Linked DNA regions of Saccharomyces cerevisiae S288C. The protein of the gene in region 1 binds, or shares a complex with, the protein of each later gene. Each region holds a gene or a part of one and is shown in the gene's direction. Other genes may lie near its edges.

Region 1 (2,808 bases):
CCAAGCACACTGTACACCAATGGCTACTAATATTACTTGGCATCCAAATCTTACTTACGACGAACGCAAGGCATTGAGAAAACAGGACGGTTGTACTATTTGGTTAACAGGTCTAAGTGCGTCAGGTAAAAGTACAATCGCCTGTGCGCTAGAACAGTTACTGCTCCAAAAAAACTTGTCTGCATATAGATTGGATGGTGACAACATTCGTTTTGGATTGAACAAGGATTTGGGTTTCTCAGAAAAGGACAGAAATGAAAACATTCGTAGAATTAGCGAAGTTTCTAAGCTATTTGCTGATTCATGTGCTATTTCAATCACCTCATTTATCTCTCCATACAGAGTTGACAGAGATAGAGCTCGTGAACTACATAAGGAGGCTGGTTTGAAGTTCATTGAAATATTTGTTGATGTTCCATTAGAAGTCGCTGAGCAAAGGGACCCTAAGGGTTTATACAAGAAAGCTAGGGAGGGTGTAATCAAGGAGTTTACAGGTATTTCTGCCCCATATGAAGCGCCAAAAGCTCCAGAGCTACATTTGAGAACCGACCAGAAGACGGTTGAAGAATGTGCTACCATTATTTATGAGTACTTAATCAGTGAAAAAATCATCCGTAAGCATTTGTAATTTGACCGATTACTGTACATTTAATGATATATAAAAGATGTATATATATAATATAGAACATATTTATTCGAGGATTCATTCGAAAAAAAAAGAAAACTTTAGTGACGAGATTGAGTAAAGTGAAAAACTGAACAAATTTTCGGAAGCCTTTTGATTCTAAGTGCCTACTTTGATATCAGTAGTTGATGTATTATAGTATAGACCTATTATTCATTAAATATACTCAGAGCGCTCAAGTCTGCTTCTTCAAAGTGTTCAACCGAGCTTGCAAGTCATCGTCAGGATTACCGTGAAATTCTGATCCGGCGCCAATAGGTTCAGGAATCCCCATCGCTGTTTCTGCGATCGGCGCATTAGAAACCAGATTTTGAGGCGTGCTTTGCAACTGTGAATTCAAATCCACTCCAATCTCATCAAGAACTTTATTTACAATTTCGTCAGCTTCTTCGTCTTCATCCACCTCATCACCCATGACGTTATCAATAGCTTCGTCCATGAATTCCTGTCGTTGACCCATCAAATCACTCTGCTTTTCAAACTCCATCGATATCCTTTGCAACTGAGGTAGATTCATTGTTCTGTTCATTCCAGCCAAAAGACCAGTGGCCTCGCTCATAGAACGTGTCATTTGGTCACTACTTCGAACGGCCTGTATTCTCAATGATATCGCCTGAAGTTGAGCTTTCATGTTGTCAAATTTTTGGATGTAATTCCGGGTTCTTACTAAATCTTTTGCTTGAACTTTCGCAGCTGCAACTTGCCCATTCTTTGCCGATTTTTTAATTTCTGATACAAGTTTTTTATCTTGTAGTTCCAATTTTCTCTTTTCTCTTTCAAGCTCCCTCTGAGTCCTTTCTAAAGCCCTTTGATTCTAAAAACTCAAATAATTAACGTTAGTATGTTCACTAAAATAACTGATCCAAATACAGAACAACATACTTTTTTTAACCTCTCTTGCGGAGTGACATTCTTTCCAAATACCCACTCAAACAAACTCATTGTTTAACGTTCTGTGTCCAAGGGTGAAACAATCAGCCTTGAAGTACACTGGTCACAAATACGCTTCAACTGAATACGCATAATTCGAAAGGATGATTTCTGATTAGGAGGAGACGAAGTCCCTTTAATGCTGATTTTATCTATCTTTTCGCAGTTATCATCTAACCCGGAAAAGTTTCAACAAGACTTTAGCCTTTTAATGGAAACTCCCACTAGTTCAGCTTAAACAAAATAGAAAAGCTTCAACAGAGGAAAGAATAACGCAAAACCACCCTTTTCACTAAGATGCTTTATGAGCTGATCGGACTTGTTCGCATAACCAACTCCAATGCGCCAAAGTTGGAAGCAAAAGAATTGTCTTCCACAATCGGGAAACTGATTATTCAAAACAGAGGTGTGGTGAGGGACATTGTACCCATGGGCATAAGGTATCTTCCTAAAATAATGAAGAAAGACCAGGAAAAACATTTTCGAGCATATCACTTTTTAATGCTGTTTGATTCATCAGCTGCGGTACAGTCTGAAATTCTAAGAACTTTAAAGAAAGATCCCCGTGTCATAAGATCATCCATCGTTAAAGTTGATTTAGATAAGCAGCTGGATAGAGCCTCATCGTTACACCGTTCTTTGGGGAAGAAGTCTATTTTAGAATTAGTGAATGAAGATTATCAATCCATTTAGGTATAGCGCACAGGTTTTGACTGGGGACGCTACAAACACATGTAAATACATACATATCTTTCATACACATATAATAAACAAAGCAGGAAGAGCATTCTAAAAGCCTCACTTAACATAGACACCATTAAAAGCCACCCATTTATTTCAAAAATTTATAAAATTCTAAAGATAATCAGTGGTATGTGATTAAATAAACTACATGTATATTATGCTAAACGACAATCCTGACTAAGAAAAAGAAAGAAAAAGATATATATTTATATGTATCTACATAAGACCAACCGTATCCGTAATTGCAGATAAAATACTCATTAAGCCCTCTTTACACCTAGTGACGTTATAGACGTGGCGGACGAACGAGAAACAGAAGTAGATCCATCAAATAACGAAGGGCTTACACTGGGTTCATCAGTCATATTAAGATCAAAGTCAAGTTCCAAGTTGGACAAAGGGACACTTTCGATATCGTTTGAATCTGCAGCCAATGGATCACTCTTTGA
Region 2 (3,008 bases), on another chromosome or scaffold:
TGTCATCTTTTAATACAGCACTCAACAGCCTAGATAATAAGGGCCCACACGATATACTGCCCGATTCCAAAGCATTATCATCAAGTTCGTTGGCACTTTTTTTTGGTAGTATAGTAGATGCATCGTTTGAATATGGTGAAGGTTTTTTATAGGCAGAATTTTTGTCGTTTTCATCTTTGAACCAAACATCTGTGTATAAAGGGCCTAGTTTCGGTATAATAAACGGGTTTACCTCAGGGTCATAAGTTTTGTCAAATTGCAAGCTATCGGGTATAATATATTTCATCTTCAAAAACTTTAAGTTGTCATCACTAAGATCTTTGAAAAAATTTTCCACAAATGCTAGAAAGGTATTGAATTGAATTTGGTTGGTTGGTTTAGGATGCGAAAAGTCCATATCCGGTAATTCACCTGGTAACAGATCTTTCAAATCATTTGTTGGATAACTAGCTACATTGTATTTTTTTTTTAGGAAGTCTTCTCCTGTACTTTCTAGTCCCTCTTCATTGAATAAGCCGAGTGCTGCTGCTGCTCGAGGTAACGTTTGCGATACTACAAATTCTGATTTTGGATTTTTAACAGTTGGATCGTTTTCCATTTTGTCAACGTCAATTTTTTGCTTCTTATTGTCTGGCCTCTGTGTGTTTTCATTTTCAGTGGCCCTATTTTCAGTTTCAGAATCGAACGGCCTCTTTTCTCTGGGTTGATCTCTATGAACTTGTAAATCTTTGTCTTCATTAATTTCTTCTTTAGCCATATTATCAGCCGCTTGTTTGATGCTTTCTACATCGTTCTCAATTGTGCCGGAGATTTCATTAGAAGGAGGAGGTTTTGGTGGGCTTTGTACCCCTTTATCAATTATATTCGTTTCTTCAGTAGCAGTAGAACTTTCGTGCTGCCCGTCTGCATTTGAAGTTTCCTGCTTTTCATCGTTTGCTTGCTTCTCATTTTTACTGTCTCTTATTTTCCGAAGCGCTTCAATGGTCTCTTGATCACCTCGGGCAATTGTACCCAGTATTTCATTGAGACTATCCAATTGACTTTGCAATTCAAGTAAAGTTTTTTTATTGGGTATGGACCTAACACTTTTGCCATTGAGCATTCCAATATCACGCTCGAAGGTCAAATCTAAAGTTTTAAGCATTGACGATAAAAGCTTTGACGGAGTATTGTCGCCTCCCTCCTTTTTAGGAAGTTTCTCGCCTTTTGGCAGTTTTCCTCTTCTTCCATGTCTAGGCATATGTCCTGTCCAATACTTCTCGTCGCTCCGTCTTTGTTATGTTTTTCCAACTTCCTTATTGTAATCGCTACCACGAATATTTCATTTGATGGCGTTCATTTAATGACTGCCTGCCATTGTTTTGTTGTCGTCGGCGAACCTTTATCGCGTTGCACGTCGGAGCTCTTTAATGAGTTCCGCTAAGAAATTACGCTAAATGGGACCTTTTCTGTAACTGATTCTGAGTATATTTCGATCTGTGAACAAGGCAGTAGAGTTACCGAAACATTTGACACTACTAAAATACTATTCTTAGGAAGATGAAAGTACCATTGGGGTTATGGAAAGTCTCTCGGGGTAATTTGTGGAGCACCCAGAAAAGGGTTTTGACAATGTCTAGATGTTTGAACAGTGATGCTGGTAATGAAGCTAAAACTGTGAGAGAAGGACCAGCTTTTTCAGCAGATCTCTATATGCATCCCGAAAAATGGAAGGGTTTACCTCCTCAAAGAATTTTAGAGTTATATTGGGAGAGAATGGCTAGATTGGGTTCAGAGTATAAACCTAACAAAGACGAACTGAATGCCTTATTAACCACTTCTGAGTACTCAAATGTACCTGTTAACGATATTAAAAAGCTATATCACAGAGGAGAACAAGGCGCTATTGATATAAAAGGTGGAAACGTGAATCGCGATAACAGTCTTAGACCGTTTATGTTTGATGAATTGCCATCGCAAGCTCAGGAATTGGTTGCCCAACATCGTGAACAAAGGTTCTATAATCGATTAGCCGCATATGAGTTACCGCTATTAGCTCAATATCGCCAGGAATACAAGAGACCATCTCCAGAAAGTCATCCGGTCACTTATAGATACACTAGTTATGTTGGCGAAGAGCATCCCAATTCGAGGAAGGTTGTATTAAGCGTTAAAACCAAGGAATTGGGCCTGGAGGAAAAATCATTACATAAGTTCAGAATATTAGCCAGGTCGCGTTATGATCATACTACAGATATTTTTAAAATGTCTAGTGACAAATTTGAGCATGCATCACAAAATGCACGTTATTTGCATGATATTCTTCAAAGGCTGTTAGCGGAGTCAAAAGATTTGACGGAGGACGATTTTAGCGATGTTCCCCTTGACACAAGGCATACTATAGCTAAGAGTTTACGTAAAAAGAAGCGGGATTATGAGTTTCCTGAACACTGGAAACGCCCTGAAGATGCACCAAAGAAGAAATTTGATATTGTAGATCAATTATTGAGCACTCTTTAATACATGTTCAAAAACAAAAAGAACGGCCCCCCTGTATATATTATGTATTTGTTTTGCTTCCTTCTTTTTCTCTAAAATGTACATAGTTTTAGCACAATACAACATTGAGAGGTTTGAAAAGGTATAATCGCAAATTTAGAACTATATACATACATATACACAACGAAAATGAAAAGGAAGATATACTGTTACAAGAGGAGAGGGATAGATACATATATATATATATATATGTGCATACACTATGGGCAAAGCAAGCCCATGCTGCTATATTTTATTCCTTTTTTTATTATTATATTTATTTTAGAAAGACAGTAGAGTAATAGTAACGAGTTTGTCCGTCCATCAAATAGAAGAGTTGGATTTGTCCTTCTTCTTATCCTTCTTCTTCTTCTTCTTCTTCTTTTCCGAAGATCCATCATCATCGTGAGGTCTCTTTTCCACAGGAGGTTCAGCGGCGTGCTGTAAACTGAAAGGAATTGGAACCGGCGCATGAGTTGGACCGTTTTCCA
Region 3 (2,652 bases), on another chromosome or scaffold:
GTCGTGTTCCCAATTGTGAGTAGTACAGTGGCCTGCTGCCGGGCAGATAGTAGCAGGGCAGGACACTTGCCAGATCCCGTAGCAAGGATGCTTATAATATATCGAAATGTAGCATTGTTAGTTTACTTCGTAAACTGCCCTTGTAGAGTGAGGTATAGCTTAGAAAATAGCAAACTAAATAGAGAGCGAAATGTCCTTACCAGCTACTTTTGACTTGACTCCAGAAGATGCCCAACTTTTGTTGGCTGCTAACACTCACTTAGGTGCTAGAAACGTTCAAGTATGTTATACTCATTCCCGATTATATAATAGAGTAATGTGTGATTGAAAACAGTTCGAGTGAAAGAATAGCCACAACCAGGTTTCCCGCCAACCAAACGGAATGCTGGGATAGCATTTTTCAGGCTGAATAAGAAGAGAAATATATGAACAATCATTAAAACAGTTTGAAACTCCAGCTAATTATCAGCGAATATTTTGCCAATAGACTTTCTAATTGTATTATGTTATTAAATTTTAAATCGCTAATGAAAAAAAAAAACAAACCTTTGGTATTAAACCTCTTTCAATGAAATCAATTAATTCCGGTACCTATTCTTCCGACGCTGTTAGCCAACTATAAATGCCATTTTTTCATAGTACATTAATTTGAATCAGTTGATCATTCACAGCATATACCAAGTGTACGTTTTTGAATCTTTTATACTAACTTTTTCTTCTTTAATTTTGTTTCAGGTTCACCAAGAACCATATGTTTTCAACGCAAGACCAGATGGTGTCCACGTTATCAACGTTGGTAAGACCTGGGAAAAATTGGTTTTGGCTGCCAGAATCATCGCTGCCATTCCAAACCCAGAAGACGTTGTTGCCATCTCTTCCAGAACTTTCGGTCAAAGGGCTGTTTTGAAGTTCGCTGCCCACACCGGTGCTACCCCAATCGCCGGTAGATTCACTCCAGGTTCTTTCACCAATTATATCACCCGTTCTTTCAAGGAACCAAGATTAGTTATTGTCACCGACCCAAGATCAGATGCTCAAGCCATCAAGGAAGCTTCTTACGTTAACATCCCTGTCATTGCTCTAACTGATCTTGACTCTCCATCAGAATTCGTCGATGTCGCTATCCCATGTAACAACAGAGGTAAGCACTCCATTGGTTTAATCTGGTACTTATTGGCTAGAGAAGTTTTGAGACTAAGAGGTGCTTTAGTTGACAGAACTCAACCATGGTCCATCATGCCAGATTTGTACTTCTACAGAGACCCTGAAGAAGTTGAACAACAAGTTGCTGAAGAAGCTACCACCGAAGAAGCTGGTGAAGAAGAAGCCAAGGAAGAGGTTACCGAAGAGCAAGCTGAAGCTACTGAATGGGCTGAAGAAAATGCTGACAACGTCGAGTGGTAAGTAAGGTGATATTTACAAATAGTATATTAATAATTATAGTATAATGTTTTATTAGAATAACAGATTTCTTTATCAATTTAGCGGCTAAATAAAAATCAAGAAAAAAGAAATACATTCATTGTGTCATCTTGTCACACATTTAGCCATGTACTTTATTTGCTGAGAAGTTTAATCAATTGAGAGTAGTTAGCTATTGTAGTAAAAATGTGCAAATGAAGTCTTATCAACACGTAGCGTATATAGTGATCTAAAACAGTTAGAAATATAATAAGCGAACTTCTAAACCATTTTAGAGCACATAGCCATGGAGAATAGGTACTTGTTTTGACCCGCTCGACGAAGTGGTACGTAGTGATTGCGTGGATTAGTTTATCATAAGACTTTCAATGAACGTACCAAAGGCGAGACTCCTAAAAGTAGCAGAGTTATCTGCGAAGATATTTGATCAAAATTTCAACCCATCAGGTATAAGAACCGGTTCTAAGATTCTAAATGAGCGATTAAAGGGCCCTTCTGTGGCAAGCTACTACGGCAATCCGGATATCCTGAAGTTCAGACATTTGAAAACATTATATCCTGATATTGAATTTGTAGACCTTGAGGAGCAATATCGATTATCTATGGTAGAAGCAAAGAAACGTCGTGGTAAAGGTGCTCCTAAGAAGATGAAGAAGGATGCAGCTGCAACTGCAAAGGGGAAGGGGAAGAAAAAAAAATGATTGGAGCACCCTTACTAAAAAAAATATTCATTATGTAGAAACTCATTTCATGTACATACAAAATCAAAAATAAAACAACAAATAGCTGAAGCAAGAAAACGCTACTTTACTTATAAAAGAAAACGTTATGCCTGAATAGTCAGCCTTTTGTATAAATCCTTTACACTCAATGGCTTACTAGGCAGTGAAGAATAAAGAACATAGTACAGCTTATTTCTATTGACCATTATAGACTCCCCTCGGACAATCTTTCGTACAGTAGCAAACGAGAAATAATTTGTCCTCATTTGCGACAACAATAGATTGTATGGTCTGAACATACTCTTGAATTTAATAGGATTGTTTTGAAGTTCTAAGGTTGTATGCTTGTTAGAAACCGTGGTTTTGAGCTCAATTGAAATGCCACCGGGTAGACGTTTAGGATCTTTTAACCTAAGTAATAATGCGAACAATGGAAAATGGTTAATGAGTGCAATGACAGCTTCCGAGAATATTTCGATAGTTATTGTTAGCATTCTCAAAACTGTGT
Region 4 (3,349 bases), on another chromosome or scaffold:
ATTTATACACATTTGGTACCGGCTATCGTATACTTCGTGTTTGCCATTACGTTGACCAACTACTTTCTAATTCCCGTTTTCCCCTCCACTTCCTGGTCCGATTACACCGTTATAAACATTTTCTTGATGGGCGCTTTCTCATGTCTCATGTGCAGTAGCTGTTTCCACTGCATGAAGCAACACTCTGAAAAGCAAAGCAATTTCTGGAGCAAGCTCGACTACTTGGGGATTATCAGTTTGATTTCCTGTTCTATGATCCCTATAATATACTTTGGTTACTTCGACCACATATCCTACTTCAGTCTTTTCACGATTGTTACTTTAGTCCTGGCAACATTTTGTACAGTCTGTGTCCTCCACGACAAGTTTAACACTTCCACATTTCGTCCATTTAGGGCCATGTTTTTCATATTGTTTGGATTTAGTGGCTTACTCCCATTGACCACAGGGTTTTTCAAGTTCGGTATCCAAGGGGTTCTTAACAGAATAAAAGTCAGCTTTGTGTTTTGGGAAGCTCTCTTTTACATTTCAGGGGCTGTAATCTACGGGTTTAGGATTCCTGAAACTTTGGCTCCAGGGAAGTTCGATTTCTTCGGTAGCTCTCATCAAATATTTCATATTATGGTGGTTCTTGGTTCTGTATGCCACTTGAAAGCCATTATCGATTCTTACAAATTAATGCATTCTCATATCCACCCTTGATGGGCCTACAACTACTACAAAATCAAATAAATAACATTATATATCTAAGGTTAGAAAATAATTAAATGCAAAAAAAGTCTTTATTCCTTTTTAGATATTCGTCACATCATGCTTTTATCATAGATCGCATTTTGACAGGTACTTCGCTATATTAGCCTAATTAATTTTGGTCTTACTAAAGTGAGTAATGCCGAAAAATTAAACGTTTGAATAAGTGAACCTACTACAAAGGAAAGAGAGGAAGAGAAAAGGATAGGACTAAAAGACTTCCTTATATTTTTCGGTACGCTTGCGTTTCACTGAAGAGAATAAAAAGAACAAATTATATAAATTTAACACACTATGAGCACGAGAACAAAGGCCCTGAATGCATACAGGCATGGCTTAAGAGCAACCCGAATAGCTTTCCGGAATGATGCTGAAGTATTACTAGCCGCGAGAGCTAAAATGCGTTCAGGAATGTTATGTCCCCCAGATCCTAAACTCACCACAGAGGATCAGATTCAACATTTAGAGGATGTGGCTGTTTTTTTGAGACGAAACCTGGTTCAGGGCAAAAAGGTTGATGGCTCAAGTACTAAGGAGCCTAGGTACCATTTGAACATTCACAAAGACACCGAATTGGGTGACAATGAGACGATTGCAGACCCTACGGCAAGAGTGAAAACAAACTTAAAGGCAAGACCATTTAAATGCTCTGATAAAAAGCAATGATAATGCCTTGATTTTGTTTTATCTTCGAAGCTATATACATGTAAATACTTTTTTAGTACCTAGCAACTTTGCTAGGTGGCATATAAACTGATTTAGCACGATATATCGTTGCATTTGTTCTGTTTGTAGTATGTACATGTATACAGCTTGTTGTATTTGATGTGCTACTGAAACAGCGTAGTTGCTAGTGCTTTATCCCTTTTGACGGAAATGAACAAAGCTTTATAGCGGAATTAAACTTAACGAAACTGGAGAAAGCATAAAAGAGGAAAAGGGCAGCGGTAACTCATTAAATAATCTAGTTGGACGAGCCATAATAAGAGAAATAGACGGAGTAGAAAATGCGCTCCTCCATGTTTAGATGTGTGAGTCGCGCTCATTACAGCACAAGTGTCACAGAAGATTTCATAAATAGCATTCTAGCAAGGGCTCAAGAGGCAACAGCAAAAGCTTCCTCCAATGCTCTCAAATTGGACAAGATGAAGGAGGGTAGAATGCAAAATAAGAGGAGAAACGGGAATCAGAATAGGAATAGTATGAACAATAAAGAAAGCAGGGGTAGAGAGGGAAATCAAGGAGAAAGAAACATGAGACTGAAAAACCGTTCTAGTGATTCTGTTCGTGCTAACAAGCAGCAGTGGAATAAAGGTGCTAATACGTCTTTTGTAAAGAATCCTACTGGAAATACAGTAGTTATGCAGCCACAGTTCAAAAAGATGCAGAATGGCAAAAATAATTTGAAAGGAGATGCGAGAGTCGAAGATGATTTACTTGATGTCTTCAATTCGTCGATGGAGCAAAAACCTGTTAATTTCAATGGAACCCCCAAATCTAAAGCAAGGTTTCAAAAAAAGAGTCATATCTTAACAGCATCTAAAAGGAGAAAGGCTCCTCAACAGCAGCTACAGAAGGTTATCAAGAGACCTGTCAGTTCAGAATATGTACTAGAAGAGCCCACTCCTTTATCTTTGTTAGAATATACTCCTCAAGTTTTTCCAACAAAGGAATCCAGATTAGTCAACTTTACCTTAGATAGCTTGAAAAAATCCAATTACCCCATTTACAGATCGCCAAATTTGGGAATCCTCAAAGTACATGATTTCACCCTAAACACGCCAAACTTTGGTAAATATACACCAGGATCCTCCTTGATTTTTGCCAAAGAGCCTCAATTGCAGAATTTACTTATTGAAGAAGACCCAGAAGATTTTCATAGGCAAGTAACAGGAGAATATCAACTCTTAAAACCATATGTGAAAAAAGATTTTGAAAAACTGACGAAATCTAAAGATACTGTGAGTAAGCTCGTACAAAATAGTCAAGTTGTGAGGTTATCATTACAATCTGTTGTTATGGGCTCCGAGGAAAAGAAATTGGTATATGATGTTTGTTCTGGAATGAAACCAATTTCTGAATTACAACAGTAAATCAAACATCGTTATTTCATTCTTACATACCTGTAAATATCTAGTACGTATAAAATTTGAATTGTATGCCTGAACAGAAAAAGAATAGGTGGGCTCTTCTTATCCTTGACTATCAAAATTCCGGCTTAGTTCGTCAGAAATGGATATTTGATTTTTCAACAAACATTTCCGCAAATTAGATTCCTCCTTCTTTTCTTGATACTTAATAAGTACCTTTAAAAGCAATTCGGATATTGTTTGTACGGGAAATACGGAAGGTATAGTTTCGAGGATCTTTAATTGAATATCTGTATCATCTAAAAGTTCAAAATTTCTCTGTAGCAAATTAGTCACTAATTCAACTGAGTAATTCAAAGAAGATATGTCCAAGTATTGTTTCATCACCGCAACCAAGTTCTGCTTGCCTATGTATTTTTCTACACTTCTGAAATCATTAAATGACAAATATATTTTCAGCAATTCTTCGGAAGAAACCCAGTTTGTTAATTCATTGGGGAAAAATAACA

What was found.
Region 2: MRP17 (region 1) and RSM24 share a complex: the UniProt entries of both Saccharomyces cerevisiae proteins name them as parts of the mitochondrial small ribosomal subunit.
Region 3: MRP17 (region 1) and RSM27 share a complex: the UniProt entries of both Saccharomyces cerevisiae proteins name them as parts of the mitochondrial small ribosomal subunit.
Region 4: MRP17 (region 1) and RSM28 share a complex: the UniProt entries of both Saccharomyces cerevisiae proteins name them as parts of the mitochondrial small ribosomal subunit.

The regions. Positions count from the first base shown.
Region 1 is NC_001143.9:436,597-439,404, reverse strand, and holds MRP17 (mitochondrial 37S ribosomal protein bS6m MRP17), read left to right. Parts: upstream 1-1,912; coding exon 1,913-2,308; downstream 2,309-2,808. Other genes in the region: MET14 (adenylyl-sulfate kinase), read left to right, coding at 20-628; ESCRT-III subunit protein DID4, read right to left, coding at 861-1,499, 1,568-1,627; AUR1 (inositol phosphorylceramide synthase), read right to left, coding at 2,620-2,808. UniProt on the Saccharomyces cerevisiae protein: Component of the mitochondrial ribosome (mitoribosome), a dedicated translation machinery responsible for the synthesis of mitochondrial genome-encoded proteins, including at least some of the essential transmembrane subunits of the mitochondrial respiratory chain.
Region 2 is NC_001136.10:812,684-815,691, reverse strand, and holds RSM24 (mitochondrial 37S ribosomal protein mS35 RSM24), read left to right. Parts: upstream 1-1,539; coding exon 1,540-2,499; downstream 2,500-3,008. Other genes in the region: histone acetyltransferase NGG1, read right to left, coding at 1-1,240; HMO1 (Hmo1p), read right to left, coding at 2,842-3,008. UniProt on the Saccharomyces cerevisiae protein: Component of the mitochondrial ribosome (mitoribosome), a dedicated translation machinery responsible for the synthesis of mitochondrial genome-encoded proteins, including at least some of the essential transmembrane subunits of the mitochondrial respiratory chain.
Region 3 is NC_001139.9:920,385-923,036, forward strand, and holds RSM27 (mitochondrial 37S ribosomal protein mS33 RSM27), read left to right. Parts: upstream 1-1,790; coding exon 1,791-2,123; downstream 2,124-2,652. Other genes in the region: 40S ribosomal protein uS2 RPS0A, read left to right, coding at 191-280, 736-1,404; GPI1 (phosphatidylinositol N-acetylglucosaminyltransferase), read right to left, coding at 2,249-2,652. UniProt on the Saccharomyces cerevisiae protein: Component of the mitochondrial ribosome (mitoribosome), a dedicated translation machinery responsible for the synthesis of mitochondrial genome-encoded proteins, including at least some of the essential transmembrane subunits of the mitochondrial respiratory chain.
Region 4 is NC_001136.10:1,435,173-1,438,521, forward strand, and holds RSM28 (mitochondrial 37S ribosomal protein mS46 RSM28), read left to right. Parts: upstream 1-1,757; coding exon 1,758-2,843; downstream 2,844-3,349. Other genes in the region: IZH1 (PAQR-type receptor), read left to right, coding at 1-702; MZM1 (Mzm1p), read left to right, coding at 1,045-1,416; CORVET complex subunit VPS3, read right to left, coding at 2,943-3,349. UniProt on the Saccharomyces cerevisiae protein: Component of the mitochondrial ribosome (mitoribosome), a dedicated translation machinery responsible for the synthesis of mitochondrial genome-encoded proteins, including at least some of the essential transmembrane subunits of the mitochondrial respiratory chain.